2 linked regions of the Mytilus edulis genome follow. Each later gene encodes a partner of the first gene's protein in a complex. Links are inferred from orthologs where the notes say so. Each region holds a gene or a part of one and is shown in the gene's direction. Other genes may lie near its edges. The genes, in order: N-alpha-acetyltransferase 50-like and huntingtin-interacting protein K-like.

Evidence for each region.
Region 2: N-alpha-acetyltransferase 50-like (region 1) and huntingtin-interacting protein K-like share a complex: the UniProt entries of both Homo sapiens proteins name them as parts of the N-terminal acetyltransferase E (NatE)/HYPK complex. The link is inferred for Mytilus edulis from reciprocal best matches to the Homo sapiens genes NAA50 and HYPK.

Annotation. Positions count from the first base shown.
Region 1 is NC_092348.1:77,357,559-77,374,937, forward strand, and holds the start of N-alpha-acetyltransferase 50-like, read left to right. Parts: upstream 1-9,509; 5' UTR 9,510-9,607; coding exon 9,608-9,615; intron 9,616-13,683; coding exon 13,684-13,820; intron 13,821-16,791; coding exon 16,792-16,911; intron 16,912-17,379. UniProt on the Homo sapiens protein: N-alpha-acetyltransferase that acetylates the N-terminus of proteins that retain their initiating methionine. Has a broad substrate specificity: able to acetylate the initiator methionine of most peptides, except for those with a proline in second position.
Region 2 is NC_092354.1:40,485,642-40,503,090, forward strand, and holds the start of huntingtin-interacting protein K-like, read left to right. Parts: upstream 1-8,830; 5' UTR 8,831-8,926; coding exon 8,927-9,079; intron 9,080-11,899; coding exon 11,900-12,007; intron 12,008-17,449. UniProt on the Homo sapiens protein: Component of several N-terminal acetyltransferase complexes. Inhibits the N-terminal acetylation activity of the N-terminal acetyltransferase NAA10-NAA15 complex (also called the NatA complex).

The DNA of each region.
Region 1 (17,379 bases):
GTTCCTTGTTTTCCGTACGAACATATTAAATTAAAACAATTCTTAATATGACAAAAAACATATGGCCAGGAATATCTGACAAGGATCTCAATTAAGGACTAGGTCCTAACAACCACTTAACTTTTTATATAATATGGTACATAGACTCAGCTCTAATTCTTTTCAAAGCAGAACCAAATTAGGCGAGCGCCAAAACAAGGATTCGGAGGTTTTTAATGCACCAACCTAACACACGGCTATATGATGTATCATTTGAAAGGTGTTTTATCGTACATTCAGAATTGCCTGGTCGTCAAATTGGGAAATGGTCACATTTTTCTAAAAATGGCAAAAAGGGGGGAAAATTATAGGTCATAATGTGACGATATTGTTCGAAAAATGCAGTTTAAAAACAAATTCATCTGCAATATAATATGAAATATATCATTTGATTAACTCTAGTCATTCTAATTTTTGTTTCTGAAATAAAATTTAAAAAGAAAGTGTTTAAAATGAAAAATTCTCGTATTTTTGTGAAAATCTTAATTTTTACGGGTATTGACGCAAAACGCTCGGTGATATTTAATTTTGCATCGAAAACACACAAATTCTATTGGTTTTATATATTGATAACATATAACTAGTTTTTTAAGCTCTAATGTCTCTCCTAGCATGTTTTTCATACCGAAAAAAAATATTGATAAAACTATATTAAAACATATCGTAAAACTACTTTTAGCGCATATTCACTATGTTTACAGCACAGTTAAAAATATATGTTATTTTGGTCGCCTGTTAGTTCGACAGTTATAAATACATTATTAATTAATTTTCGTAAGCTTGAAAACCAATTCAAGGTTGAGCAAGGTTTGTTTTACCAATATCATCACATACTGAACTGCTGGTAGAGTTATTACAAAAACACAAAATTAATAATATTATACATATTTACATTGAATAACAACCACCCCCAAATAAAATTTAAGAAAAGAGCTTTCCCTGGGGGAGAGGGGACATAATATTTTCTGGAGCAACCAGTGGTTATTCTACAATTAATAATGAGTCCAAATAATTAATAAAGGAAGTTTGGTTTCACAATATTGTCATTTTTCAATTAATTTATTTAAGATATGCAAAGGATTCTACCTTAATAAATTTAGCATGTACATCGATACAACAAGACCTCATAGCATATGCCAATGAACGCAATCTATAAAATGAACAAATTATAATTTGATAAATAAAATTAATATAAGAAGAATGTGTCCATGAGCCACAAATGATCTTATCAAACTTAATTTAAAGGACATATCTAGAGAACAGTAAAGCAGATGCTCTCCAAATTCAAACTCTGCGTTTTATGATAAGCGTTGTGTATTGGTTGCATAACATGTGGTTTAGGCAAACGTTAGATAACAAAATCCAATTTTGAGTTCAATGTACATGTATGTACGTACAGTACAAAAGTTAAACTATATCACTCAGTTAAGGAGGACAGAAAAAGAGCTGATCAACTGATGTTTACCTTTTTAAAATCTTGGTCCAAATTTTTGAGCTGGTGCATGCTTAACCGTTACATGGTTACTGCAATGGTTTTCCTCAACCTCAGACACATTGGATCTGTGGATTTATATACATGTACAAGACTCTGAAAAAAAAATTAAAAATACGTTCAATTATCTTTTATATTCTTCTGTCTGTTTCATATAAAAAAGAAGATGTGGTATGATTGCCAATGAGACAACTCTTTACAAGAGACCAAAATGACACAGAAATTAACATTTATAGGTAACCGTACGGCGTTCAACAATGAGCAAAGCCCATACCGCATAGCCAGCTATGAAAGGCCCGAAATCACAATGTGAAACAATTCAAACGAGAAAATTCACTGCCTTATTTATATAAAAAAAAATGTTAGTCCAACAAATCTTTAGGAGAACAAAGTGACAAATTTAAATGCATTCCAAAATTCATATGTTTTATGATTGATTACATTGTTTCTGATCACATATTTAGTGATTGTACATGTAGCTCGTCATTGATAAACATGCAGATTTCATACTATAAATTGTACAGCAAAAAAGATGTCCCTATGTACTGTTTTTAACACCTTGGGTTTTACCCTGAAAACAAGAAAATTTTACCCAACTTTCAAGGCTAGATCCTAGTCTAAATCATTATGACACTTTCAAGACTTGGAAGGTTGTTTTTTTATTTTTTTCTGGGACGTCTTCCTACAACGACCTAATCCTATTACGACAACTGTGATGGCTATCTTAATTTTTTTTCTGTGACGCCTATATTTTACAACATCTTTATCAGTTTATTGGCACAATTGTCTATTTCCACTGTTCCATGTCAGACCCAATGATACAATGGTTGATTGTTTGTTGCTCAAAATCCAGTGGCAAATATTTCATGCATGTTAGCAACGACCCCCAGTGATATATGCAGCATTATCATTAATAGGTCGAGTTTGTAATATGCCAAGTTTGAAATGTGCGGAGTTTGTAATGGACCCAGATATCTAAAGTGCTGAGATGTTTAGCTTCACATTTTCTGATATACACCTTATCGCTATTTGTCCGACATTGCTGGAAATCACACAGGTTCCCGTAAAATTTTGACGTCATAAAACAAAATATCTGACGTCACAATGGAAAAGTGATTGTTGTTGACGTCAAAAGTTCAAGCGGCCGGGTCAGCCGGGATTAGCGATAAGGTGTATTGATAACATGGATAAGACTTTTATGCTTCAATGATTATCAAAAAATAACAGAGCAAAAGACACTTGTAGCCTTAATATATAGGGATAGTAGCTCTTGTCACAGATAGAAAACAAGTACTTGTGGCTGTGCACCCCTCCCCCTTTTTTTTTACTTTCTACAGTTATTACTTATTTTTAATTGCATATATCTTCAGAAACAACACAAGTTAATCAAGCAATTTGATAAATAGATTCAAATAACACACATTATGGCTAAAATATCTTGTATCAGTGCAATATATTGACAGTATAAGAAAAAGTATCATATTTCAACACGGTCACGTATAACAGACTTGAAAGAGGCGCCCAACACGGTAACAGCTGTTATTTTCATCAATCAAACTTGTTTTTATCATGGAGAACCTATTTGGTGTAATGTGCAATCATTATTTTACCTTTTTCTTTGTTCTGGAATCTGGATTAAGCTAAATTTCCACTGCAAATTCCTCACTGTTTTCAATTCTCGATTTCGATTCTCACTCGGGGTGCTAAAAAATCTCAGTACATTAGAAGGGTAATTTTCACCCTCTCACACACATCTCTGGTACCCAGACCGGAGTTTAAACTAGAATGGGTACGTTGGGGGCCTCGGTTGGTCAAAGTGTCCCTACTTTGACCTGGAGATCAATCTTCTGATATCTCTCTGGTTTGTCTGTTTCCACCGAGTGGCCCGGTGGTTCTCTCCGAGTACTTCGGCTTCCTCCACCACAATAACAGACTTCCCGGTGTCCTAGCACTCCCTTTGTGTTGAATTGGGTGGGGATTGGTTGTCCTTGTAAAAATAATTGTCGTATAAATATACGTTAGTGACACATCTCCATTAATCCCGTTAGGGAGTGTACATGGATGCCACTGTACACTCGCAGCTTTCGAGGGGTTCTTCGGATATCGGAGGCATTTACCAGTACATACATACAGTATGCTGCGGTAAAACCCGAGTACTGCTGAACGTTACACTAATCAAATCGTGAAAAACGATTATGAAATCCAAGTGATAAATGATGACAAAATTTTAATGATATATTAAACAATAAATATTCATATAAAATACATATATTAGAACATTAAAATTGGATTTGTAATATTTTCTTTGACATCTTGATGCAAATTATGTCTGCGGGGAAAAAAGGGGGAGTTTTTTTTTTTTAAATCGAAAAAATCGTAAATATCTTCTAGTTAAGGTGAATGATCGATACATCCAGGAATACTCATTATGACATACCCCAAAAATTCGTCCCATAAAACCAGATTTTTACAATGTATTCACTACGTTCTTATAATGTCGATACGACGTAACAAAACGTAACAAAATGTTACGTCGGATTATGACAGTTATAAGCACGTTGTCACAACGTAATAAAATGTTACGTCCTGACAAGGTACTAAGTTTACGTGAAGCCGACGTAATTTTATAACGTCGTCTGTACGTCTGCATCCAACGTTGGATTTTTACGTTCCCACAACGTTGGTACGACGTAAACTCACGACATGACGTTCAGACGACCATTAACCGACGTCGGGAGTACGTCGTGTGTTTACTGGGTATACTCTGTAAAATTTAAAGATTACAATGAATTACTTCTTGTTTAGTCTATTAAACTATATATTTGGTTGATAAATATCAGTTCTCTCATTATGCCGTTAGGCTTTTTTATAATCTCACGCTGACTGTGCAGAATATTGGATACCCAAAACTTTTTCTTATAATTAATACGTTTTATGTTATAAAAATACTTGGTTCATATATTTTATAGACATTTTGGGGTTTATTTTATGAAAGAAAAAACCAAGTAATACCTTTTACATAGAAGTCAGTTGCCTGGCAATTAACTATGTTCATTTTGTGTTGTTTTATTAGGAAAACACGGAGTACAAGAACGGAGAAAAGATTTTATGCTTTTGGAAGCAGGACCAGAAGTGGTATGAAGCTGATATCATAGAAAAAAGGAGTAAAGGTGGGTGTTGTCTTCAATACAACCAACTTTTAGCTCTAGACAACAAACAATACATCACCAACAGTATCAATTTACCTTTGATCGATATTCTAAGTAAAAAAAAATATTTAGAAATTAGAATACAAACGGTATTCGTTTAAGGTTGAAAATTATATAAACACTTTTTTCACCTGCATAGCCGTTAAAGTCCAATATCGTATATTATAGAATGAAATTTTCTTTGATTTAGTAACGTTATCAATTAAAAGAATCTAAATAACTTATATAATAATATCATAACTCTAAGGTATATATTTTTTACAGGATACTTTGTTAAATTTGGACTTGATGGAGTAGAGAGAGTTCTCAAGCAAAAGGACATAAAAAAGAGGAAGACTGGAAAAAGATGATACTTTTGCTGTCAAAATCCATATAAAATGTTAATAAACAAAATGTGTATATATTTATTAACTTTTGTTATATGTTTGTATTCCCCTGTTCCGAATGGAGGAGAACATGAGTTTCATTTATTTCAGAAACTTCTCTCAATTAATTTTAAAAATGTGATATCAAGCCGCATTTCATCAATTTATACACTGTCATGCACTTAAAAATTTCAATGCTCCTCAACTTTTCTTACTACTGGTTAATTCTTAATAATAATGGTTCTGTAGGAATTTTTTTGTTGCATTCTTCCCAGAAATCACACATCAAGGTCTTCGAAATTTTTAATGGTGTTTTATGTGAGCCTTATATACATCCATCACTTATCAACTTCCTGTTAACCAAATACATAAAGCTGCCCTTTTTTTCATTTTTTTAGCAGTACTTCAAAGTTCAACTGGTTAAGTTTTAAGACTCGTTAGTGTATTCCATTCTAATCTATGGATCGAAGAAAACAATTAGTAGCTCAACTTCATTAACGCTCAGATGATGTAGTATGATTGTAAATGAGACCAATCTCGCTACAAAAGACCAATTGACACAGAAATTAACAATTATAGGCCACCATACGGTCTTCAAGAATGAACTAGGTCACAAAAAATTTCAAGGAGTCTCTCAAGGTAGAAACCTTTTTAAATGAGTATCGATACTCTCAGATAGAAACCTCTTTAAATGAGTATCGATACTCTCAAAGTAGAAACCTGTTTAAATGAGTATCGATACTCTCAAGATAGAAAACCATTAATAAGAGTATCGATACTCTTAAGGTAGAAAACTGTTTAAAAAGGTATAAAACACTCAAGGTAAAAAAAAAGGAGCTGCTTTAAGAGTATCGATACATCCATGGAAGAAAACTGTTTAAAAAATTATTGGTACTCTCAACGTTGAAAACTGTCGATACTCTCAAAGTAGAAACCCGTTTTTAAGAGTATCGATACTCTCAACATGTTCAACACACTCAATGTAACCTGTTTAAAAGAATATTGATTCTCTTGAGGTAGAAAACAGTTTCAAAGAGTATCGATACTCCGTCAAAAATAAACTTATTTAAAGTGTAGATGTTAAAAAAATGCTTCTAAAATACTACTTCTCATGGACCATAAAACTTTTTTACCGGAATATTCTAAGAATGGAGGTAGACAATGCTTAATTGAGTATCGCTACTCTTGAAAATATATTTGCAAATTTTTTTTATACTCTTTAGCAAAAAGAGCTATAACCTAAGAGTGGCGATACTCTGTGGTATTATACTTGTGACGTATAGTACTAGACAGTACTCTTGAAGTCAAGACATACAGGAACCGGAAATGACAAAGAGCGTCAATACTCTTTAGATAAGACACTTATAAAGAGGAGATGTAAATTAAAGTAATCGTATTTGAGTATCACAACTCTCGTACATATAAAATGATAACTTGATGATTTTGTTTGCATTGATGATAATTTTTGTATTTACATTTCCTGTTGGACCGTGAAATTAGTACTCATTTCTAAATGAAAAAAAATCTAATACACAATGTTTCAGCACTCATTGAGTTGGAAATATCAAAACTTGACCAAAACGGGAATTATTTATTTTCCCTTTTTTATTTTTAACGTGTTATATATAGTTACAGAGCAATTAGTATACAATTAAAATACAGTACAGTATACAATTTCATATTATTCAAACATTTAGATGAATACAATATGATGCATGTTAACGCGGAAATAAACGCCAACAACAACGTTATATGTCTCTGGTCTCACAAACGTCTCTGGATGATTCGTCCCAACTCCGATTCGTATCAACCAATTCGTCCCAAGTAGAATCAGTCACGCCTCAGTCATTACAGCTGAACGGACGTGCTGGATGATCAACGACTTACTACTTTTATAGATGACAGAAACCTATCCAACGCTGTACAGTAAACGTTGTTGTTGGCGTTTATTTCCGCGTTAACATGCACCCCAAAACCCATTGTAGATGGGGGAGTGTTATGCCGATTGACGTGCGAGGGCTGTATCCTAGGTGTTAGATGATTGACCATTATTTCACTGCCCGAGTCACGGCTTTGGTCCTGATAATGCTTCCTGTCATCTTTAATACCAAGTCCAAGACTCATCTACCAGTACTCCATCATCGAGGTTAGCAGGCTGCCAAGCTGACCAGGCCCCGATTTAAAGCAGCCGTTGTGAAGGCAGTAAACAAACCAAAAAGAACTCACCAAAACCAAAATGGTGGTCTTCCAAAATGGCGTCCTCTACCGCCTGTTTCTGACCCACTGCAGAAATTATTCAAACGCTCATCTAACGCCTTGGGCACCGAGCCGACCGTGCGAGGGCTGTATAGCCAGTCAAGGTCGTTAATCACTTCCATCAAGTGCCAAGTTGCTTGGTCAATTTGTTTCCGTGAACCCGGCGGCTTTTAAGGGCATACCAGTTACAGGGGAGAGGTAATGATGACGTTGCAAACGCAAATTGTTATTTTCGCGACGTCAAACTATGAATTATTGGAAAAAGATTCAGTTTTCGACTGATTTTTATCATTCAAACTTATCTAACTTGAAAATGAAAATGTAATTCCATGTCAGATTTGCTCTAAAAGCTTTAGTTATTGAGATATAAGCCAAAAACTGCATTTGACTCCTATGTTTTTAATTTTAGCCATGTTAGCCATGTTTGTCGATGGATCAAAACTTCAGATACAATTTATAAACTAGATACCATAAGGAAAATTTAGTTAAAGTTTGAAGGTATTTGGCACAGTAGGTTCAGAGGAGGACATTTTTTAAATAGTTTATGACGACGACCACAGACGACGGACGCCAAGTGATGGCATTAGCTCGCATGGGGCCCTTTGGGGCACTATTTACATTTTCATAAAAATTGACAAAACTAGCCATTTTGTCTAAGTTGATATTTCATTTTTCAAAGCAGTTAACGCGTATATTTTAACTCATATTTCAATAATTTGCTGCCGGAGGGACACCTATGTCCAAACCGGCAGTGCCGGAGGGACACATATGTCCATGGATAAATTTATGCAAGCTTCTTATCAATGCTGTATCTCTTTCGGCAATTAAAATACAGAAGAATAAACAGGGTCATGTTTTTCTCCAATTGGTCCCAAATGTAGTGGTCATTTTGTCGTGACGTCATATATCGAATGACGTGGTTGTTTGGCATGTTACGTCACAGACGTTGAGCTGTCGTATTTTCCGGCATATGAAATGCAACCTTGAAAAACGGTCGGCAGCAAGAGGGTTAAGGGCATACCAGTTACAGGGAGAGGTAATGATGACGTTGCAAACGCAAATTGTTATTTTCGCGACGTCAAACTATGAATTATTGGAAAAAGATTCAGTGTTCGACTGATTTTTATCATTCAAACTTATCTAACTTGAAAATGAAAATGTAATTCCATGTCAGATTTGCTCTAAAAGCTTTAGTTATTGAGATATAAGCCAAAAAGTTAAACTGCATTTGATCAAAACAAAAGTTAGATACACGAAGAGTACACAATACCAAGATTCTTTTTTTATCAACTACATATCTGGGTCTTTAAGGTATAAAATGCTTCCACACATTACAAAACGGTAGCCATTTTGTCCAAACGTGTGAAAACGTCGAAAAATCCGGAAAACGCTAATTTCCGACGTCACATGTGCTAAAGTGTCAATCAGTTGATGTTTATGATAATTAAAACAAATCGTGTAGTGAAATTTGGAAAAAGATGGTTATGGCTGCCGAAAAATAAGAATAGTGCATGTTGCTAGAGACTCTGGCCAGGGACATATAAATTCGATTACATAAATAGATTACATTTGGCAATTTTTATTAATCGCTTTTATAAAGTTTATTTAAAAGAATGGTAGAATAGAGAAGAAAAAAAATCTCATTACATGAACATCGTTCAACTTTTGCAAAGACAAATTGGAGACACAAAGACAGTCCTCTAAATGTAAAATGCGAATTTCAATTTATGTTGCGGAAGTACTCCGAAATAGATCATTTAAAGTCGTCCCAATTTTCCTTCCTACATTACTTGTGACAGTTTTGAATTTTTAGGTTAAATAACTTAAAGGGTACTGTAATTATTATTAAATCGATTTCCACAACTTGAGGTAAATCACAAAAACAACAGAACCAGAATCAACCAACAACATATAAAAACCCGAAATTGGAATAAAACTTGCAAAAATTAATCGAAGTAAAAAAAAAGTCTTTGACGCCTCATTTTTAGTGTAACGTCGTGTTGTAGGAACATCGTGGATAACGTTTTTACAAATGAAAAGTCATGGAATACTGACGCTCTTTTAACAAACCGGAAAGTTTTCTGGCTTATAACGTACTTGTTTTTATTGTACTTGTGTTTATTCCAATCAAAACAGCATTTAATTTTACCCAATTAAGGGACCGATTCAAAACAATTTTTGTTTATTTCCGGTTTTGGAGCGGGAACACATGTGAGCAGTTAGTTGATGTTAATCAAGTGTTTACAATGACAAGGTGCATATTTGTGATCTTTACTTTGAGTAGTGTATTTATTATTGCTGCCAATTGTACACCAAGTGTGCACTGAAATCGATTGTTGGATCAATATCATTCGTAACCCCCTTTTTATCTAGCCCAGGCCTGTTTTATTTTATTATTCTACTCATAGGCACTTGTTTCCATCAATGGAAAGATCGACTATCTATATATTTATATAAATCCACCTTCCCGTGGATAGAAACAGGTGCCTGTAGACTGTAGTACAACTTACCAGGAACATATATTTTGACCGGATTTGACACAACCAAATAATTTGTATCGGACTTAATTGTCCGGTAATAGTGGAGGGGGGTATCTGCAAGGAAGAATGCGATATAAAATTGCTATTTCACGATGAACGAATAATTAAAAAAATGGCTTGTACATTGATCTTATTACCAATTTCACGAAAACACGGTGAATAACGTACCTTATTCATGGCTGCATGTGAAATGGCAAAACACCTTGCACGAAAATAACCTTTACCACCCTCATAAATGAATGAAGACGTGTGTAAAATACACTATCGCTTAATAATTTCTAATAGGGCTCTTCACAGTTAGTTCAGCCATATTGGATAGGCCATTAGGGGGCAGATTTTTTAGAAAGAGGTGGAAATAGTATGAAAGTATGGGAAATGCTATGCATGTTTCCAAGCAACAGCTCTGTTTTAATGATGTTTTCCCGTATTTTTCACAGTAAATCTGTCAAATGTTGGAATAAGTATAGATTATAACATGCCCTTTTCCATATTGGCCCTGGTATTACCCCATATCAGTCTCCAGGCTTTAGCCGAGGGCCGATATGGGTCGAGGGATGATACCAGGGCAGTGTTCTCCCCTGGTCGTTTTAGCACCGCGATTTTCAGCGCTATCACAATTCCTGCTGTTCTATTGCAAAGACCGCAGCGCTATCCAAAGCAAGCGCAACACTATATATTTTTTTGTAATTTTTTCAAAATTCCCGCTTATTTTTCACTTCGGATCACGTGTCGACTGGTTTACTATTTCTGAGTGAATTATATCCGCTGTATTAAGTAACTCAGCGGGAATAGTCAAATAAATTTACAAAATGGCGTATTTGACAGATCAAAATAAACCAAGATTTCATCAATGACATCTATTGTTTTTATTTAAAGAATATACAGAGGCATTTATGCATGATATATGCATGAAATGAGATGATATAAATTGACCGCATTTCCCCACGACACTCATAAACTTGTTTTACAAACTTTGAACAAACGATGATTTTAAAAACGATCAAACACAGGGGTTTGTTACAATTTGCCAGGCTTACTATCCATACGAACCCCAAAAATGAACAAGTCTTTTGAAGTATTAATTATCACCTATTCGAACTAATAATTGTTCATTCACGATTCTACATTAATGAATTTTACCATTTGAAAACGATCAGAAAAACAAACCCTAAGCTGATACTTTCTCGAGATCCAGCTTGGATGAAGCCATTTGAATAAAACGTTTAGGTCAGAAAAATGAGAAATCATGATGTTAAAAAATGTCAATTCCTGTCAACAGGTCAAACGTCGTAAGGTTGACAGTACTTGTCAGAAAACTGGAGTCACTGCTACAGTGGGTTTCAAAACCAAACACAAGAGGCTGACAATGACTGTATTGTTGGTCCGACATGTTCTGCAACATCACCTGTTAGTGCTTAGAAATCTTCACATAGGCAGTCTGGTATAGACCCATCATGGAAAAAGACTTCTCCTTGGGATTTATGCACAGATAATATGAGGATTATATGAATTTACAATGGAGAAAAAAAACTCTTCTTCTATATTAACAAACAAAGGGGTAACTTCAATGAGCATGATGAGGACATCATTACAAGAGAAAAAAAATCAATGGCATAATATAAGAAAAACAAATAACAAATCAATTACAAACAAACAGCGCGCCGTGACAAAGTTACTGAGAATTGTCGAAAATTACGCACTTACCACAGCGCTATCCAAAAATCTTGGGAAGAACACTGACCAGGGCCAATATGGAAAAGACATGTTATAATATAAATCACATATTTAAGTTTTGCAGAAAAGAGAAAAAAATATTAATTATAACAATTTAATGAAACAACAGGTAAATCTTCTTTTTTTTTTTTTTTTTATCACAGAAGCAATTAAAAAGTCGTTAAGGATGCAATGACGTTATGTCATTTGGAATCAGGGCACAATAACCAATATACTCTTTTTTTGCCCTCAGCAATTTTGAGGTTATTATATCAGTGATATTGTTAGCCTCAAATTACCCCCGATATTCGCTTTTTCCCCTAGAGAAATTCCCAATTACAAAATAAAATGGCTTAAAATTCCTCCCAATAAGTTGTACATTTTTCCCAAACAGTGATGGCATCGGTAGTAATGATATGTAAATTTCGTATTCATGTTATTATTTTGATATAATGAAAACGTTTTTGAGATCAGGGATTCTGATTTGAATCATCGGGATGTTTGTAACATGCATGGTTTCAATGTATTAAATACTGTCATTGTATTTGTTTCTTTCCCCTCCCCCAAATGTTCTTTCCGGTTAAATATGTCTAAAAATTTCCCAATTTCCCCAAAAAACGATGCACTTCTCCCCCCCCCCCCCCCCCCCAAAAAAAAGGTAGGTTTGAAAAAAGACAACAATATCACTGTATATATGCAAAACCCAACATACAATGTATTTGTAACAAATATGTGATAATACAATTTACAAAATCATTAAACAGGTTGGGGACAACTAGACAAATTGGAAAAACCTGTTAAATTGAATTCAGCACCATTTCCCTGGTCATCTAAGAAAGATAGTACATCAGTGGTCTCGCTAGCCCAAAATAGAAGGGCGCCGTGCCCTGGGTGCCTTCATCCGTGCCCTTCTGCCCTGACGTCTTTTTCCAAAATTATCTTGTGCCGTTTTGGTAAAATTTTGTTTCATCGATTTCTGATCTCCAAGTTAATTACATATATGACACCTGTGTGATTGCCCCCAGGTTAATCATGTCATTACACTCAATTACAATGATAAAGACTTCAAAGGTGTTAATAACTAGGTAATTTAATTAGGACAATGTATCTTTTTGTCATACTTTTGATGAATGTGTCAGCGAGTGTGTTTAGCTTGGGTCGGCATTTTCGATCTCCAAGTCACAATGGAAGAGCATATATAAGTGAAGACTTTCCTGACTTTAGAATTGAATTTAAGTCAGCAAAATAAAACTATGCCTTTACAGAAATGCCTTCCATCTCAACTTGTTAGCGACAAGCACAGTTTTTAGTTAACCCAAACGTGGTGGAAATTGATTTTGGAGTTACTTCCCCTGTTTTAGCTTATTACAAATTTGTGCTCTTAAAATATTATCTAGTATCAAAAATAGGAATAAATTACCAATTGAATATATAATAACATAATAATGTTACCTTAAAGATATTAACTGTCTTTGAACATATTAAAAAATATATATTGCAATTTCTACTTGATAATTATACTTTTAGCAATCCATGTTCTAAACATTGTTAAATTAGTAATGCTCTCAGTTACAGATCATACAGACCGTGCAAGGGCTGTATAGCCAGTCAAGGTCGTTAAAAACTTCCATTTGTTGTTACAGATCATATGATGCATTAAAAGCTATAATTCCTATAAAGAAAAAAAAACCCACATATTCTTTGATAATGGGTAGAGTGAAGTTAAACTGTAAAAACATAATATGTTGATGAAGATGTCATGGATGTAATATATCATTCATAACTACACAAACAATGAAATAAAGACTATAGTTGAAAAGCATCTTTATTTAAAAAAAACAACATATACAGTAAAAAAAAAAAAGAGATTCGTTAACTCGTGATACACACAGAAATGTAGACAAAAAAATGAGCAGTGCCTTTTCTTATCATAAAAAGTGCCCTGCCCTCCACTGGCACCCTGCCCCTTTTGATTTCTAGCTAGAGCACTGGTACATGTATGTGACTTTTTATGATACATGTATGATGCAGCTGAGGTTATATAAGTTGATTATGTCTATTCTTTTCAGAGGTCATACAGAACTAGGGGACATAACTCCTCATAACATCAAGCAGCTAAAGTTGTTGAATCAAGTGGTGTTCCCTGTGACTTACAATGATAAGTTCTATAAAGATGTATTAGAAGTTGGAGAGCTAGCAAAACTTGGTATGTTTATAACAGTAGAATAACAATGATACATGTATATATAGATTCTACCACTGCATCGAGTGTGATACAATATTCATCCACTCAAGACAGTTAAATTTTCAAATTTTAAATGTAAGGCTTGTCAAGTGTTTTAACATGTTTAAATATTTAAAATTTAACTGTCGAGAGTGGATAAATATCGTATTACAAAGAGAATTGGTGGTGGAATCTGTTTCTCTAATGATTTTCTAACAATATGCAGGCAAACTAATTCCTTCTTTTCAAATAATCTGCAAAAAGTTGTGTTCTTTTAGTGTGACATAATCAGGCATGGTCGCCTCTTTTCATGCTGTCACAATAGTAAATTCAGAGGAAAGCAAGAAAATTCAATGTCATAATCAGATTTAAACTAATGAACATGATGAAGTACTGAGATCAAACAAACTGCACGTTGATTAATTTTTTTTAAACAATGGGGATCAATGACACAGAAATAAACCACTGCCATGACTGTAGGTCACTGCAATGTCTTAAACAATGAGCAAAGCCCATACTTTTTAAGGTCTATAAAGATATTCTAGAGGTTACAGAAAGTTCAAAATCATCAATTGACTCCCTGTAAATTACAAATGCAAGTTTAGATGCTTTCTTGAAAACTATCAAAAGGGGGGGGGGGGACAATAGGGGGTCCGTTAAAATGTTAACAAATTTTAAATGCTGATAACAGTTAACACCAACTTCAATCAACCCTTTTTTCTAAAATCAAAGCTAAAGCTATGAAAAGGGGGAAATGTACACATTCAATGTGTTCAGAACCACTGTAGAAAGTCGCAGAAATCCCAAGCTCTTAAGGAATCTTTGATAAAGCTGATCAAGTTTCAGAAAACAGCAAACTTGGGTAATCATGTGATGTAGGAAAGTGAGACAGACAGATGGACAGAGTGATTACAACCAATTTTAAAGCTTAAACATCTTTTAAATCCTGAATCTGAGCTATTGACAGAAGTTGGTGACTTTAAATGTATAAAGCAATCTTTAGAATTTAAAAAAAATGAGGTCCATATCCATCAAAGGTTACAATTCCATTATAACTATGTTTTTATGTTTACATTTGTAGTTCTTCACTTTCTGTGTTATGTATATGTTTATATTTGTGTTTACTTGACCCATATGGGTGTATTTGCAAATAAAATTATCATTAACTATAGGAACTATATGGCATGGTGTAGTGGTTAGTGCATTGAACTACTAACATAAAGGTTCCTGGTTTGATTTCCGTTCCGGGATGAAAATTTCAGGGACTGAATGTTCGGCTGTCCCTTGACACTATTTGCGAGCATGGTCTTGAGGAAACAATGATAGTCTGTCGGAAGGGGACGATAAATGACTGACCCGTGTTTAAGAGAGAGCCATATCTCTTGCACGTTAAAGACAAGAGCAGGCTAATGCTGCTACATGGCAGTACTCACACCTGCAAAGTGGAAAGGAATTTATATAAGTTGCAAAACCTGTTTCCCAATTCACTATAAATAAATATGTTTAGACTAACTATAGAGCGCGACCATTATTTTTTATGGAGGGGGCCCTAATAATATATTGTTGCATCTCCGTGTAATCATACGACTCATAGCTTACATGCTTTTATGAAAAGGAATTGAAAAATTGAAAATCAATAAACCAATGTATTAAACGCCTTTTCCATCTCCAAGTCCCAAGAACTCTGAGCTGATATAGAAAAAGCCTTTGGCCAATACTTACACTTCAGAAGCCTAAGACTAGCAGGCCACATTTTTCACAACTTCATTCAGTTTTTGAAAACTATATTCAGGTTCTCCTGGTTATTGTAACTTATCAAACATTCTATATCATCTTAATTGTTTTTATTTTGGGACTGACCAGGATTTTAGCTTGGTCAGAAGTGGTCATTCCTATTAACAGATTAACGTGTGGATTGATTATTAATCGGAGACAGAAATAAACTTCTGTCATAGTCTTGTAATTTTTTTTAATATTAATTTTGGTTCATTTATATGTTTCAGAGTTTATTGTGACATTCATTTTATAGGAACTAGTACACTTTTTTGTTCAGAAAAGACCATTTAACTTGGTCACTTTGGAGTCACCTTCAACCCGCCTACTGGTGCAGGATTTCTCACTGTGTTGGAGACTCATTTTATTTTGCCTTGTGCTGTTTTCTACTCTTTGGTCGGGTTGTTGTTTCTCTAACACATTCCCCATTTCCATTCTCAATTTTATCAAGGATGTGCTATAGTTAAAGATCTCCAAAGACAGCTACATATACAAAATGTATGTTGTTTGTGTTACTCCTTTAAGGAAGCACCATAAATGGACAGAAAATTTAATGTGATATTAACGTGTGAATATTTAAAATTCTTGTAAATGACAGTTAAGATCAGTTCACAGAGAAAAATTATGTCAAAATCAGGGAACACTTTAAGTGTCAAGTAACAGATAACAGGGATTCTATTTTCAAAAGAACAGTTAACAACAGTGCAAATTGTAACAAAACAGATAACAAACACTGGGTTGAAAACAGTTAACAGTAAAATTTTATCTCAAATAACAGTTAACAACACCTTGAAAAAGGCCAAAACAGGTTAACATAACAAGGTATTGCCCCCCCCCCCCCCCTCTTCATCAAAGATAGAGTAAGAGAGAGAGAACAACAACAGAAGATTGGCTAGATTATAAGATCTACACGTTCAAAAAGCAAACAATACATCATTACATGTGACATAACTGGTTGCAATTAAAATAAAAAGTAAAAAAAAATAACACATTTTTACCAGGTACTCACTCTCTTAATTAATGCTAATAGCCTTTGTTTTGATTTTCAGTAAAATTGGGCTCTTTCTTTTATTTCATTTTCTAGGACATATTTACACTTAATTTACACATTTATTTTAAATGTCAGATTAATCATTTAATGAAACTTTTTTTTTATTTTTAACAAATGTTTATTTTCCAGCCTATTTTAATGACATTGTGGTTGGTGCTGTTTGTTGTCGTATTGATACATCTGATAACCAGAGACGATTATACATAATGACACTAGGATGTCTGGCTCCATACAGAAGATTACATATAGGTAGACTATTTATAAACAGTCTTATAGCTTAGATTTAAAGGGGCATTTGCTACAACAACAACAAAATAAAAAAATAAGATTGGTTCAATCATTTATGAAAGTCAATAAGTGGACTTATAATTCACTAAATGTGTCAGTGATTAAATAAAGAATTTGAGAATTCAACCTGTATTCATGTGACCTTCATTTATATCATGTTATATAACCATTTGCCATTTTCAGGGGTCACCTCAATGGTTAATTAGATGATGTTTAGACTAAAATACACACCAATGCTGATCCATATTACTGAGTACATGCATCATCAATTGTTTATTTTAGACTTTTTATAATTTGGCTGTACATTTTAAAAGTATGTTATAAAGCAAATATGCAAATTTGAGACAAATAGATAGACATGAATTTGACAGCTAATGTCCCAAGGGCAGAGTGGTACAGTTTTAAGATAATTGACATATTAGACTATAC
Region 2 (17,449 bases), on another chromosome or scaffold:
AGAACAACTGCAATCATTGGGAACTTGTACCACTGCAGACTCACCATAAAAATATATACATTGATATATGCATTGCTTTTGAAACCTTGATAACATATAAATTATTTGCCTTAATAAATAAATCATTAGATAAACATGAATGTACTATATATGAATGTTTAGTGTTGAGGCAACATTGCCACAGTTTTCATAATTACAGTTGCCTTGGTTTTTGGTTAACTGCCTTCAGCGCTTACAGCGCTTTGATTTAAGATGCCGTTTGGGGCGGGTGGCGGTTTTTTTTTGGGGGGAAGGGGGTATGCGTAAACTCCTTATGCTGTTGAAAAAAAATGAATGATTTCATTGTCATTTAAAAAAAATCTAAGCTGAGTGTGTTGATGCACTGTATACTTAACTTCTATATATATATATGTCTAAATTCACATTACTCATGGTTGAACATGGTTTTGTCTAACCTGCGACATAAAGACATAGACATTGCTAGTCGACGTGGTCGTCGTTTGCGTAAATAATTGTTAAGTTTTCTGCTTAAGTTAGTTTAAACAAACAGTTAATTTTATAGCAACTACTTGTGACTAATGATCAATGATATTTTCAATAAATTTGTATAAATATATCAGTACATATCAGTTTGACGACTATTTCGACTCCCTGTCCCCGTAAGTCATGTGATTTTCAAGTAATCATAATTAATCTTCAATGTTGAATTTTCAGCTTTAGTAAGTTTTGTTTGTACTTTTCTTTAACAATTGACAACGATATTTTCTATAAAGTTACCTTACTTGTCTGTACATCTCACCTGCATGGGAACAGTATATGTCGGTATATATGTTCCTGACCTCACTGTGTTGGCCATTTCAAGGTTCTGTTCACTATTTTATGGCCCAGTGTATTTTAATTTAATCAACAATGTTGCTTTCCATCAAATTGTCTCTTTCAGAATTTGATACAGGTCTACAGTTTATGTTTATGACCGTTTTTGTGGAGCCTACAACTTTTGTTGCGGAAAGCTCGACATAGGGATAGTGATCTGGCGGCGGCGGCGTTAGCCAACTTCTTAAAAGCTTTATATTTTAGAAGGTGGAAGACCTGGATGCTTCATACTTTGTATATAGATGACTCATGTTACGAGTTTCCGTCAGTCACATGTCCAATGTCCTTGACCTCATTTTCATGGTTCAGTGGCCACTTGAAAAAACGATCAGATTTTTTGTGATGTGGAATTCTCTCTTATTATAAGTAATAGGATAACTATATTTGATATGACAACAAATGGAAGTTTTTAACGACCTTGAAAAAAAACTTCCATTTGTTGTCATATCAAATATAGTTATCCTATTACTTATAATAAGAGAGAATTCAACATCCCAAAAAATCTGATCTTTTTTTTTCAAGTGGCCACTGAACCATGAAAATGAGGTCAAGGACATTTGATATGTGCATACCTTGCAAGGTCCTCATGTCTGTCAGACAGTTTTCACTTGACCTCGACCTCATTTCATGAATCAGTGAACAAGGTTAAGTTTTGGTGGTCAAGTCCATATCTCAGATACTATTAGCAATAGGGCTAGTATATTCGGTGTATGGAAGGACTGTAAGGTGTACATGTCCAACTGGCAGGTGTCATCTGACCTTGACCTCAATTTCATGGTTCAGTGGTTATAGTTAAATGTTTGTGTTTTGGTCTGTTTTTCTCATACTATTTGCAAAAGGTCTACTATATATTATTTGTTGTATGGAATTATTGTAAGGTGTACATGTCTAGCGGGCAGATGTCATGTGACCTTGACCTCATTTTCATGGTTCAGTGGTCGAAGTTAAGTTTTTGAGTTTTGGTCTTTTTATCTAATACTATATGCCATAGGTCAATTATATTTCGTGTATGGAAATATTTTATGATCTTTATGTCAGCCGCGCAGGTTTTATTTGACCTTGACCTCATTTTCACGATTCATTGACAGTGTTAAGTTTTTATGTTTTGGTTTATTTTCTTAAACTATAACGGTAATAGTTCAACTATATAATTATGTTGTATAGAAGCATTGTTAGCTGTACATGTCTGCCTGGCATGGTTCATCTGACCTTGACCTCATTTTCAAGGTTCATTGGTCTTTGTTTAGTTATCTTGGTTAATGTTAAGTTTATGTGACAGCAGAGGCGGATTTAGGGGGGGCCAGGGGGCCCGGGCCCCCCCTTTTTGGGAAAAAATTTGGTTGCTTATATAGGGAATCATTGAAACGTGACTGGAGCGGGCCCCCTCTTAGGTCAGTCAGTGGGCCCCCACTTATGAAAATTTCTGGATCCGCCACTGGACAGTTGTAATAAAGCTTTATACTTAGGACTATCAACATAATATCAATGATTAGTATAGAAGGCGAGACATTTCAGCGTGTGCACTCTTGTGTATGCTGGTAGAGAAAAGATCCACATAACGTGCTATCGTTGAATTAACTTTCTTTGTCGATTCTATAGATAGCAGTACTTTTTTTACAATTAGCTTACCGTAGTTAGTCGTGCATGATACGCATATTTAGCACTATGGAGCAGGTATTAACCAGATATGTTCAAAATGAAGAAGTGGTCCCTTTTTATTTGACATCATATATATATCTGATAATAAATCCTGTGAAAGTTTCATATATGATTTTAATTCAGAAAGAGTGGATATAAATAATTCACCACTCGAGGTTAATTGGGATTTTTTTTTCCGTCCATGGTCGATTGACAGCTGTTATATCGAACAAAATTGTTACAAAAGTCATGACAATAACAGACAAAATGAAGTTACATCATGTCCTTTATAAAAAAGGAACTTTCAATGGTATATATTTAAACACATTGTTTTTTGTTTGTTTATTAATCTGCTTTGGTCATTTGATAGATGCTGTAGACAGAAATGTTGAAACCATGTGGCAAGCATTCAAAAAAGCAATCCAAAACACAATAGATAAGAGAGTTCCAACAAAAATGAGCCAATGAAAACACACACATCCATGGATAAACACCAACATCAGAAGGAAGATAAATAAAAAATAAAGCCCATAAGAAGGACAGGAAAACGAAAAAGAAAAGAGACATGGATAGATATAAGAGACCCAAACAGGCAACACAATGGGAAGTCAGACATGCCAACAAAAATTATATGGAAGAAGTATAAAGCCCCAATTATAAAGACAACTCGAAGAAATTCTGGTCATATATAAAGAGCAAAGGTCAAGAATGGACAGGTGTAGCACCACTGAAGAATAAATTGGGATTTCTGCAAAGTGACAATAAAAGCAAAGCTGAGATACTCAATGATCAATTCCAGTCAGTATTCACAAAGGAAAAACTAAATAACTTTCCCAACAAAGGAAAAGGCCCATATTCCACCATGGATGACATCAAAATCAGCACTAAGGGAGTACACAAACTACTCAAAAACCTTAAACCACACAAAGCTACTAGTCCAGACTCAATTCCATCATTCATCCTGAAAACAGCAGCAGACCAACTCGCTCCTTTTCTTTACAGATCTGTACCAAACATCCCTTAGCACCGGAGAAGTCCAACAAGATTGGAGAGACGCTAACGTGGTACCTCTATTCAAGAAAGATGAAAGACATTTAGCTTCCAACTATAGACCAGTATCATTAACCTCCATCACATCTAAGGTCTTGGAACACATAGTCCACAGCAGTATTATGGACCATTTTGACAAATACAAGATACTTACCAACGCATTGCATGGATTCCGCAAAAAACGATATTGCGAATCGCAACTTATAATAACAATCAATGACATTGCTAAAAAACTGGAAGAAGGATCCCAAGTCGACATCATCCTTCTTGACTTTGCAAAGGCATTCGACAAAGTACCACACCACCGCCTTTTACATAAGCTAGAATTTTATGGAGTAAACCCTAAAGCTAGAAAATGGATTTAATCATTCCTTGAAAACAGAATGCAGAGTGTAATATTAGAAGGAGCTGTCTCTTCTCAAGTTCCGGTACTTTCAGGCGTCCCCCAAGGCGCAGTTATTGGACCGCTATCATAGTGTCATGATTGTTTCTGACCTACATAAATAACATGCCAGAAACATCAACATCATCTGAAACAAAACTATTTGCAGACGATAGCCTACTCTTTAGAACAGTAAACAACCAGGCAGACAGCGACCTTTTACAAAAAGACTTAACATCATTGGAAGAATGGGATAATAAATGGCAAATTTATGAGTTTTAACGCCAAAAAATGCATAGTTATAAGAATAGCTCAGAAGAACAAAGAAGTGAGAGATACATCATATAAAATCCACGGACATACACTAGACAATGTTGATGCAAGCAAATAGCTAGGCGTAACAATCAGCAACAACCTATCTTGGGATAGACACATTGCCAGTCAGTATTGTAGGCAAAGGAAATAAAACATTGGGATTTATCCGAAGAAATCTAAAAGACTGCACAAAGATTTATAAAATGATTGAATTTTTCATTATTCAAATATTTGACTTACCTATTAAATGAACTAGATTGTCACGGCCTTAATTGATCTTAATGACTCCGGGCTTACAAATACGAAATCCCAAGGTCTCGAATTTGAATAAATTTAAAATCCCGTCAGTAAAAAAAAATATTTCCGAATCACGAAAGGGTCAATCCCGAGCTTAAACACCCTTCTTCTTCTTTTGGTTTCTAGCGATCCTTCAATTATTGAAGATTATTCGCCGGGCGTCGACTATAAGATTTATAATTTACACTAATTTAGCAACAAAAAATCAAAAATAACAAAATCAAAAAATCAACATAACGTATGTACATTTGAAAAAATAAGTTGTGATAAAACTATATACATTTGATAACAGAATAGTTAGGGATAGAATATGGGGATTAGAGCAGATTCTGAGATCATACTCTTGAATCCCTCTACCGTACTGCATGATACTATTTGTTGTGGCAGATGATTCCAATTTATAACTGTTCGTGGATAAAATGAATATTTATAACTGTCTTTAGATGTTTGTATTTGCCTAAATGAGTGTGGATTGCTATGTCTGGTTCTATTGTCAAGTGGGATCAAAAGATTATGTGTAGGAACTGCAACAATTTCATGAATAATTTTGTAAAAGAAAACAAGTCTGTATCGTAAACGCCTAATTTCGAGTGGGTACCAATTTAGGTCTGTCATCATTTCAGTAACTGAGCTGGTGTTATGGAAGCGGTTGCATGAGAAGCGTGCTGCTCTTCTCTGAACTTTTTCAATTTGTAAATTTTGTTGTTTTTGATGTGGGTCCCAAATTGTTGAGCAGTACTCTAATTTTGGTCGGACAAGAGCTTTATATGCATGAGCTTTAACTTTCGGTGATGCTATTTTTAGGTTTCTACGAATAAATCCAAGGGACTGGTTTGCTTTTGATGTCATGTTATCTATATGTTTGTCCCATTTTAAGTTTGATTGAAGAGTTAGGCCTAAATATTTTGTAGAGTCAACTTTTTCTAAAGAGTGATTGTGTAATTTATAGGTAAAGTCTAAAGGTTTGCGTTTCTGAGTTACACTGAGAATGTTGCACTTGTCAGGGTGGAAATGCATGAGCCAGTCCTGCTCCCACCTGCCGGCCGCTTCTAAGTCAGACTGTAATTTAAGTGTGTCATCTGGTTTTTTAATTTCCCTATAAATAATGCTGTCATCTGCAAACAATCTTAATGTACTGTGTTCAATATATTCTGCCAAATCATTGATGAAGATTAAAAATAAAATTGGACCAAGCACTGTGCCTTGGGGTACCCCAGATGTTACAGGAATTTTATTTGGTGTTTCACCTTCAAGGACTACTGTTTGTGTTCTGTTTGTTAAGAAATCTTGAATCCAATAATATGCATTACAATTTATACCATAGAAACCAATTTTATACATGAGGTGGTGGTGTGAAACTTTATCAAATGCTTTTGCAAAATCCATTATTATGATGTCTATTTGGATGTTTTTATTATTTGAATTTGCAAGATCTTGAATAAATGATATTAGCTGAGTTTCACAGGAGCGGGAGGATCGAAAACCATGTTGTAAGTCATATAGTATTTTATTTTTTTCCAGATGTTTCATAATGCTACTAGCTACAACATGTTCTAATAGTTTGCAGCAGATGCAAGTCAATGATATTGGACGATAGTTTATAGGATCGTGTTTGTCACCTTTTTTGAATGCTGGACATACACTTGCGTGACGCCAGTCATCTGGGATCTTTCCAGAGTTCAGTGATGTTTGAAATATGATTGATAAGATGGGAGAGATAGATGATTTACACTCTTTTAAAATTTTACCATGGATGAGATCAGGCCCAGCAGCTTTGTTGATGTTGATATTATTTAGGAGTTTTTCAATGCCTTGTTTTTGTATCTTAATATCAGGCATCTGCGGATGTTTACTGACGCCCTTGTCTGGTATTGGGTCATCTGTTACAGGTGTAAATGCTTTTTTGAACTGTTCATTTAAAATATTAGCTTTTGCTTTTGAGTCAGATGTTAGTGAGCCCTCTTTTCGGAGTGGTGGTATGTTAGAGCTTTCAGACTTTTGTGTTTTTATGTAACTGAACAGATTTTTTGGGAAACTCTTTGATATAGTAGTAGGGTTTTCATCAACTGGTATCCCACATATCATATTTTCAATATAATTCCAATAAGATGTTCTTTGTTGTTTTTGTATATCATGTTTTAATTTTTTAAGTTGGTCTAGTTTCCCTTTGCCTTTTAATTTGTACTTTTGATACTTTTTCTTGTACTTTTTCATTTGCCGTCTAATACTGTCTGTTATCCAAGGTAAATTTTTACTATTTCTCATCATTTTCTGTGGTATGTTCTCAGTGATAGTGTTTTGTAATGAGTTTTTGAATATTAACCAAAGTGTGTTTGTATCTTCACTATCTTTTTTATGTATGATCTTTTGATATATGCCGTCTATATCCTCTTTTATTTTTTGCCAGTTAGCATTTTTATATTTATATACTTTTCGTGGCTTGGTTTGGCATCTTTTTAGTGATAGTAAACATTCTAAATATACAATATCATGGTCTGCCTCACCTAGTGGTGGTATGGTTTCAGTTTTTTCAATGATGGCTGGATAATTTGTTAACACAAGATCTAAAATTTTATCATTTCGAGTTGGTATGTTTACAACTTGTGCTAATGAATGGTCATTTATCATATCTAAAAATTGTTGATGTTGTTTTTGGTTTGGTTTTCCAGGGATGACACTTGTTGTTTCCCAATTGATGTTTCCTAAATTAAAGTCCCCACCAATAATTATGGCTGACTTTGAGTTTACATTTATTCTACTTATGGATTCATTTAGTAAATCTAAAGATGTATCATCATCTGGCTGGGGTCGATAATAAGCACATATATAACATTTACGTGCATTTGATATCGATAATTCTACCCATATCATTTCACATCCTGTGTCTAGTTCTTTGATTTCTGTACATAAATAATTATTTGATATAGCTATGAGTACACCTCCATGACATTGTCCTTTTTTATTTGGTGGTCTATCTTTTCTAAATACTGTGTAATGATCTTTTGGAAAATATTCATAAGATGATGTTTTTGAGTCTAACCAGGTTTCAGTACCAATTATAATATCAGGCTGTGTGGTATCAATCAAAATATCTACTTCTGGTTTTTTGTTCTTAATAGACTGGAAGTTAATATTTACTATTTTTAAAGGTCTGAGTAACTTATTTTGGGTATTTATACCTTTTTTGTTTTGTTTTCTGATGTCCTTTTGTGATATTGGTGATGAACAAGCATGTGGCTGTCCAGGACTACCAATATCGCTTAACAATGAAAAAGAATTGTTTGTGACTGATGATGATATATCAGTTTGGTTGAAAAATGAACTACTAAAGTTTGGGAGTCCACATTTAATACAGTTCCAGGACAGGTTACTGTTGTCCATTATGTTATACATTGTTGTTTGCATACCTCCTTGGCAGTCTACATGGTACCAAGTCTTACAAGAGTCGCACTCTAGAGCTTTACATTTCCAAGTGACATTTTTTCCACATGAACCGCATGGCCAGCGTGGCATTCTAGGGCCTGGGTTGAGTTCAATTTGGCCACTTAACAGAATTTTTAGCAACAAGTGGTGGTTTTTCAAAGTTGAATGTAATGCTTTATTGCAGCAGTGTATTTTTCTTGAGTGGTATAGCCAGAAATACATGGATACAAATTTGTTCTCTGTAATGTTGATTTTTGGAACAAATAACAAAGCATTATGATCTTCAATGTCTTTTGGGTAAGATTTGATAAATGGTGAACTACCTGTAGTTTTGCCATTTTCTAATGACACAAACTTATGATCTACTTCATGACACACACAATAAATTGTTATCAGTGTGAGTACTGTACTAAATAACGACATTTTTATTGGTAAAATGTTTATAACTGTTTATTAATATGATGTGCTCGAACATAGAAGGTGAGACATAAATTTGAATATAAGCGTTAGTAAATAATGATTTGTTATACTGGACTCGTGTTGCTACCCACGAGGACAATGAACTTGACAAATGAGCAATATTAGTACATGAAAAGTAAAGCAGAACTAAAGCAAGTTAGTATGCGATTTGTTAATGTTTACCTTTTTATTTTCCGGAAGTGGTGTACGATCCAAGAGTCCCGATAAAGGTCGTATCTACACCTCAGAAGTGATTATATCGTTCACAGAAAACAGAAATAAGTTAAGCTTGATACAAAAACATTCGAAAATATCAAGGAAAATAAATAAAATAAATTTCTAATTCTGTCCGTTTTTAGACAGTATTTTAATTCGGTATTCAGATATTTTCTGCAGAGTTATCGTTCTTACAAAACAACACACGTGAAAATACCAAAAGAAAATCACAAATTATTTTTGCACTGAGAGGATTGATTTCCAGTTAAAAACATGACAACTGAAGAAGAACAAGTAGAGGAGCCTGATCAAGAAGATGACAGTAAGAAGGACAAATCAAAGAAACACGATTCAGGGGCGGCAGATTTAGAAAAAGTCACTGATTTTGTCGAGGAAACGGAAATCTCTGCACAAAGCATTGGTGATGTAAGTGGGTGCATTCTTTAAACAAATGGCAGAACCGAATTTCAAAACTGAAAAAAGTATTGTGACAACGTTGAGTTGAATTACCCCCCCCCCCCCCCCCCCCCCCCCCCCCTAATTCATATAAGATTCATATGCAGTGAACACCCCCGACTCGGCGACTATCCAGTCAACACTGAGGTTGTGAGTTCGAAACCAAGGGTATCGGGATCGTTCGCCCTGATTACATGTTCGCCCTGGTAATCCGTTCGCCCTGAGTTCGTTCGCCCTATTCTCATTAATGATATGTAAATGTTACATTAATAAAAGAAATGTATATTTATATATATAAAAATTTATGTTTATCTATTAATAACAGGGGCATAGCTTACGTTGAGGCAACCGAGGCAACTGCCTCAGTAAAAAAAAAAGAAAATTTTTTTTTTCCTTCACTGTATTTTCTTTTAAATGATCATTGCAGCAAACTGGCTACTAAACAATAATGTAGCAACTTGATATGTCTTGTTGGCGCGGTTATTGATTCATACCCTTTACGAATTATTAAAGACTTATGGGAACATTTGAATTAATTTTCCCTCCTCTACTTGGAAATACCCTTTACGGTAGTTTTCTGTAATTAAAGTTTGTCAGAGTAAAAGGAAATCGACAACAGATTTATTTTGTCCTACCCCATTGCAAGCGAAAACAGTGAGTAGAATAGATGAGGATGCAACTCACGAGTCTCCTGATTAAATCACTTTACTATTGAATTAGGTCAATTAGTTAATTTTGTGTCAGAATAATTTCTAGTACATTGTATATATGAGGGCCTGGGTGAGGTTTTATCGGCTCTGAAATTAATTTAAATTTGAAAGAATATGGATTTAAAATGGTGCTAAATTATAAAATAAAGGAAAATCAAATTATGGGCGACAATGATTAAAAACTAAATATTTGATAATCACATTCTAAGCATTCAAACCCTCATTTATAAGTGTTGACATGTTCCCCTACGACTATGTCCATTGACTTTGGTACTAAACAAAACAAAATATGCATTTACATTTATACATTATAGTGCACAGAAAATAATTTATAAGACATGTGGTTCACAAGTTTTATTCTCGCTATTTTAAATTCATAGTACGTTTTCACAAGCAGGGAATTTAAAATATTTAAAGGAATCACTAATTCCAGAGAAATATGTCTGTTAGTTAATACATAATGTCAGTTTATATATAAAAAAAATCAACCAAATACTGTTCATTTACAATGAAGACTTCAGAATACAGTAAATGTTAGTTATTCGCCGGTTGTCATGTTCATCGTGAATGAAAAAAAAAGTTAATAATCATTCAATATGTAATTTCAAGACCTTCGAAGGAATACACCACTAAAACAAGTGCCTTGCTACACTTTACATGTAGCATATGTTTTTCTCCTTGTTTATCCTGAAATTTGTAGACTGACTTGAACATATTCAATTAAATACACACAACACAACACTATAATAAAAAATATAAATCAGGGCGAACATACCCAGGGCGAACAGGTATCAGGGCGAACGGTCTCAGGGCGAAACGGAACTAGGGCGAACAGTTACTAGGGCGAACAAAAATCAGGGCGGACGGACCCGGATTCGAAACCAAGCTCATGCTGGTGCACTTGACTCAAATGTTAATTTACATGGGTAGTCAGTTTCACTTTCCAAGTCCGTGGTTTTCACTGGGCACCTGGCTTCATCCGTTAATAAAAAACTGGCTGAACATTGAATCATATAAATATGTGCAACTACAAGTCCACAAAAGGGGGGGATTCTTTCTATATGAATCCGGGTCTGTTCGCGCCCAATCACGTTCGCACCCTTCCACATTCACACCCATTCACTTTCGCACCCCACATGTTCGCACCTAAATTTTGCGGAAAAGTTCGTTCGCACCCCACATGTTTGCACCTAATTTTACCGATTTTTTGGAGGTGTATTGGTATAAATATATATGCCATGTTTTTAAATAATTCGAGATTCTGACAAGTTTTTTTGTGTCATGACAAGTTTATAAAAAAAAAGTCCTTGCTTTAAGTCGGATTATGTTTCGGGGGCGAAAATGTGAGTTGCGAACGTGTAGGGTGCGAAACTATATTGGGCGCGAACGGACCTGATACCTTTCTATATGGAGGTATATAAATAATTAGTGATAACTGAGGAATAAATGAGTGGTTTATCATGCTTATGATTTTGCCATGTGTTTATGGGTCTGGATTTCGCAAGATTACAATATATGAATCATGGACTAAACTTAACTGATTTCCTCTAGGGGCCAGCTGGACCCTTAATTTTTTTTATTTTCAGGGGCCCATTTGAAATTTTTATCATAATAAAAGAAGGGGGATAGGACCTTTATCGGGACTACAGGATCGGGTGTTTTTAAGCTCTGAATTTCAGGATTGACCCTTTCGTGATTCGGGAATTTTTTTTTTCGAATTTCGGAATGTTGGGATTCAAATTTATTTAAATTTAGGACCTTGGTATTTTGGGTTTTTAAGCCCGGGATTTCGGGATCAGGACCCCTCCTACCCTCCTCATAAAATAAAACTATATTTTCATAAACTAAGACCAACTCAAAATAATTGGTAGATTTTCATACAGATTATTGAACTATATTGGGTGGGTGGAAGGATTTTAATTTTAGTCCCCTAACGACTGAATAATGAATACTTGACTAGTTCATGTAGTTGTTGAATAAAAAAAACTTTTGTTAAGGTTGAAGATATTGTGCTGAAATTGCAACCCTAATGAAATAAGATTATATTAATAAGCTCATATTTATTTATTTTTTATTTCAGGCTATGAACAAATTAACAGAGAAAAAGACCAAAGAAAGAGCAGAATTCATTGCAAGAGAGAAAGAATTGTCAAAGATAAAAATAAGTAAAGAGGATGTGGATCTAATTGTAAGTAAAACTTAAGTTCTGAAAGGACACAGAACACTTAAGGGAGTAAACTCTTTAAATAAATAAAAATTGTAAATACATATAAACGTGCCATACAGATAAACACACATATGTCAATAGACATATATTACATATATTAACCACTAAAACGATATTATTAGTTACAAAGTGTGTTAGTGACCTAATACTATATATACATGGTCAGTAAATTCCATATGGGGTTCGAGCTTCGTATTGAATTTACTGATGCCGTATTTATTGTATTTTGTCACTAGCACACTATGTAACAAATTTATCTTACAGACTATCTTTATTTGTTGAATTTAGACTAGAGTTGTCTCATTTGCAATCATACCTGCCACATTTTTTTATTTTTATATTAAAGTGTTAAATGTTCAATTTTAAGAACCTTCTTCAATTGATCTGCACAAAAAAACTAAAGTCAACAATAAAAATTTAATATCAACAACCGTGATATAACAATATTAAACAGAACTTTCAATACATTTATATAACGTGTATGATTAAATAGTGCAAAAATTGTAACTCCACTTCTAATCGTGTATTGAAATAAGCCCCGCCTCCCTACTACCTAATATGGAATATACACAGACGCTTTTAACCAATTATATTTGTAGTAATGGACAAGAGGTAAGATAAATACATGTATATGTATATATAATTTAGAATGAAAATGGGGAATGTGTCAAAGAGACAACAACCTGACCAAAGATCTGAAAATAGCCCAAGGTCGCCAATGGGTCTTCAACACAGCAAGAAAATCCTACATTGGGAGGCAGGCATCAGCTGGTCCCTAAACAAAAATGTGTACTAGTGACAATAAAAATGGATGTCATACTAAACTGCAAAACATAAAAATGAACTAAAATTATAAAAAAAAATTATATATGACTTTCGATATGATCATGATGATGGGTGTAATTTTAAAAAAATATTTTTTTTATTACATGTACTTCCAATTTAAAAAAAATATACACACATTTGATAGCATTAGGCAGATTTTACAATAAGAAGGAAATATTGTTTTTTTGTATCCATCAAAAAAGCAATTGCTGAAACTGTGAAACAGACTGTGTAATGGAGTAATGCATTATGGTATTGAATAAAATGTGTCTTTCTGAGTAAATAAAAATAAAAATTACTCTGTGTTTGTGTTTTTTGTTAGAATTAGAGGATTTTCAATTTCAAAATATTGGACATGGAATAGACATCATGACCTACTTTACTGACATCCAGCTTATTTGGAGTGGAATTTTGAAGTATTATTTATAAGTGGAGCCTAATAACATGGACTTCTATTTTAATAAAAAGTCTTCTTTTGTGTTTTAATCATAACTTTAAGGCAGATTTTTATTGGTAAAGGCTAAAAAAGGTAATTTAATAATATTGTTGCTAACGTCACGTCTTTTCCGTCCATTGTGGTATGTCACGATCGCAATTTTCTTAATGGTTCTCAGACAGCCCATTGTAGTTATTTTTATCCCGGGTTTTATAAATAATTGAAAATAGCAATCATATTAAATTTGGATGACGTAAGGGGTTCAAAGGACTTGAGGAATCAATATCATTGGCTGTTTTATTTTTTGCGAACGTTACTGCTCGACGTTTCCGTCCAAATCAGTGTCACGTGAGCAACATATATTTAGATCTGTAACTCTCCTGTATAGGAGTTACGATATCGCCCTTTGCAGAAATAGATTTGGAGTCAGTTCCTTCACATGATGGGGAAGCAAAGAAGGTAAGTTGTATGTAATATCGTTACAAGAGGACCTTAAATGTATTCCGTCCACCAAAAAGACGTTCGCAACAAAATGTAATGTCATGATAGTAGATGTTGCTAATGTTACTATTACGAATTGGTTTCTTGTGTATTCATTTGATATAAAGTACACCTGCCAATGACGTTCTGTATATTTAGAAATTCTAAACCAGACTGTACAATTTTATTACTCCAGGCGTATATTAAACATCACTGTGTGCATACATTTTAACTTTTAAAGATGTTGTTGCTCATGTGACATGTCCAAATGTCGCTAACGTTACTCATTTTTTGGTTTCTTGTGTATTCATTTGATATAAAGTACACCTGCAAATGACATTCTGTATATTTAGAAATTCTAAACCAGACTGTACAATTTTATTACTCCAGGCATATATTAAACATCACTGTGTGCATACATTTTAACTTTTAAAGATGTTGTTGCTCATGTGACATGTCCAAATGTCGCTAACGTTACTCATTTTTGTCTCTGTCACGTTAGCAACATGAAAGTAGGAGACAGAACACAATACTGTAAAATCTGCCATTATGAAATATATAAACCTATTGATATTATCTAGTCCATATACATGATATACATCTTTCTATCGATACATTTTTTTTTGAAAATAAGAGAGTGAGAGAGAGAAGGAAGCACTTTTTTCTTTAAATATACAAATATAAGATGGAGAAAAAGGCAGTCTGAACACCAGTGACCAGATAGGGAGAGGGAGAGAGAGAGAAGGAAGCATTTTTCTTTAAATATACAAATATAAGATGGAGAAAAAGGCAGGCTGAACACCAGTGACCAGAGAGGGAGAGAGAGAGAGAGAGAGAGAAGGAAGCATTTTTCTTTAAATATACAAATATAAGATGGAGAAAAAGGCAGGCTGAACACCAGTGACCAGAGAGGCAGAGAGAGAGAGAGAGAGAGAGAGAGAAGGAAGCATTTTTCTTTAAATATACAAATATAAGATGGAGAAAAAGGCAGGCTGAACACCAGTGACCAGAGAGGGAGAGAGAGAGAGAGAGAGAGAGAGAGAGAGAGAGAGAGAGAGAGAAGGAAGCATTTTTCTTTAAATATACAAATATAAGATGGAGAAAAAGGCAGGCTGAACACCAGTGACCAGAGAGGGAGAGAGAGAGAGAGAAGGAAGCATTTTTCTTTAAATATACAAATATAAGATGGAGAAAAAGGCAGGCTGAACACCAGTGACCAGATAGGGAGAGAGAGAGAGAGAGAGAGAGAGAAGGAAGCATTTTTCTTTAAATATACAAATATAAGATGGAGAAAAAGGCAGTCTGAACACCAGTGACCAGAGAGGGAGAGAGAGAGAGAGAGAGAGAACAGTGTGGTGACTCACCACACTGGTGAGTTTTCAATTCATCTGGACATTTAATTATAATGCAGTATAGTAAATCAGTCATACATGTCATTATTGGAGGCTAAAATTTAACAAGAAAAACTAGAGGCTCTAAAGAGCCTGTGTCGCTCACCTTGGTCTATGTGACTATTAAACAAAGGAAGCAGATGGATTCATGACAAAATTGTATTTTGGTGATGGTGATGTGTTTGTACATCTTACTTTACTGAACATCCTTGCTGCTTACAATTATCTCTATCTATAATGAACTTGGCCCAGTAGTTTCAGTGGAAAATGTTAGTAAAAATTTACAAATTTTATAAAAATTGTTGAAAATTGACTATAAAGGACAATAACTCCTTAGGGGGTCAACTGACCATTTCGTTCATGTTGACTTATTTGTAAATCTTACTTTGCTGAACATAATGGCTGTTTACAGTTTATCTCTATCTATAATAATATACAAGATAATAACCAAAAACAGCAAAATTTCCTTAAAATTACCAATTCAGGGGCAGCAACCCAACAACGGGTTGTCAGATTCATCTGAAAATTTCAGGGTAGATAGATCTTGACCTGATAAACAGTTTTACCCCATGTCAGATTTGCTCTAGATGCTTTGGTTTTGTGAGTTATAAACCAAAAACTGCATTTTACCCCTATGTTCTATTTTTAGCCATGGTGGCCATCTTGGTTGGTTGGCCGGGTCACCGGACACAATTTTTAAACTAGATACCCCAATGATGATTGTAACCAAGTTTGGTTGAAATTAGCCCAGTAGTTTCAGAGGAGAAGATTTTTGTAAAAGTTAACGACGGACGACGACGACGCCGGACGCCGGACGCCAAGTGATGAGAAAAGCTCACTTGGCCCTTCGGGCCAGGTGAGCTTAAAAGAAGACAGTGATAACATATGGGTGGAATCAGAAAAAATGAAGCAAAAGTGTGACATGGGGGGTCCAATTTCAAACTTAATATTTTGTATTTCTTTTTGTCTTGCCCTATTACCAATACTTTAAATTTTATAATTCCAAAGTTTCAGGCCGAACGAAACAGACACATTGAATAATCTTAAATTTTAATAGCATACATCTCAAAAATATTTAACAGAAACCATACTACTTAAAAACAAGTTTGGTAATAAAACAGTCAAGAAAACATTGCTCAGACCTTTTCCAAATGAAAGTCAATATAAAAAGGAAAATTTTAAAACCAAAATTTACATCTTTTCTGCTAAATCATATAATAACAATCAAATTGAATAGCTTAATTTGAAAAAAATAATAGTAACTAGTGATTGAAGTTTTTGCCAATAAAAAGAATCTTAATATATTTCAGTTACAATAGTAAACTTTGAAAGCCCTGAGATTTTGTGATCATTTGCAAAAAACAAAATGTCATTTCATTGTACCGTTTTAATGTAATTGTATGTAGAAAAAGCCTTCTATTTTCAGTATTTTGTCACACTCCTGACATATTTTATAAAGATTGAAAAATGCTTTAAACTTTCACAAAAAATCACTAAACACATTGCTATATCATTAATTTCAATTTCTGATATCTTTACCCATAGAACAGGACTTTCTTTTTAGGACCATTTAAAAAAACACAAAGAGAGGCACCCCAAAATGTCAGGAGTGTGACAACTGTCTTTAAACATCTACCAAAGAATACAAAGGACTTAAATGTTTTATTTTTTTTATTTTTCAGAAGTGGCTATTCCAAAGAGAAGAAAAAAAATCATTACCACTGTGATATGTTTATATCATAGATGTGGGAGTGCATTATATATGTCAGGAGTGTGACATATTTTTAAGGCATTTTCTGTCAATTCATAATTTCACAAGAACAAGTTCCACAAGTTTCTTTGTGTAAGAAATGTTAAAACCAAGTAATATTCATATCATTTACCTCTTAAATGTGTTATTTATCATGATTGTTTTGGCACAATCAGTTTTAATTAGTCATTTTTCTATTTTTTGTGCACTGAGTAATGCAAATTTATCAAAGGAAATAAGTGTGTACAACTATAAAATCATATAGGAAAGTGAGGAAATGAATTTTGTACAAAATAGAACAATTATTTTGATTTAAAATGGTATATTTAAAGATGTTTCAAGGATTAACCATTCAGATGTTATTCGTCACACTCCTGACATGAATTTAACAATTTAAGAAAAATATGAAAATTAGCTTTATTTTTAGGACAGATAATTGAAAGACAGCTAGTAAAATGAAGAAACTTTTGGTAAACCTTCCATTCCTTAAAACATCTACCAGATTTGCTGAAATAAGCAGG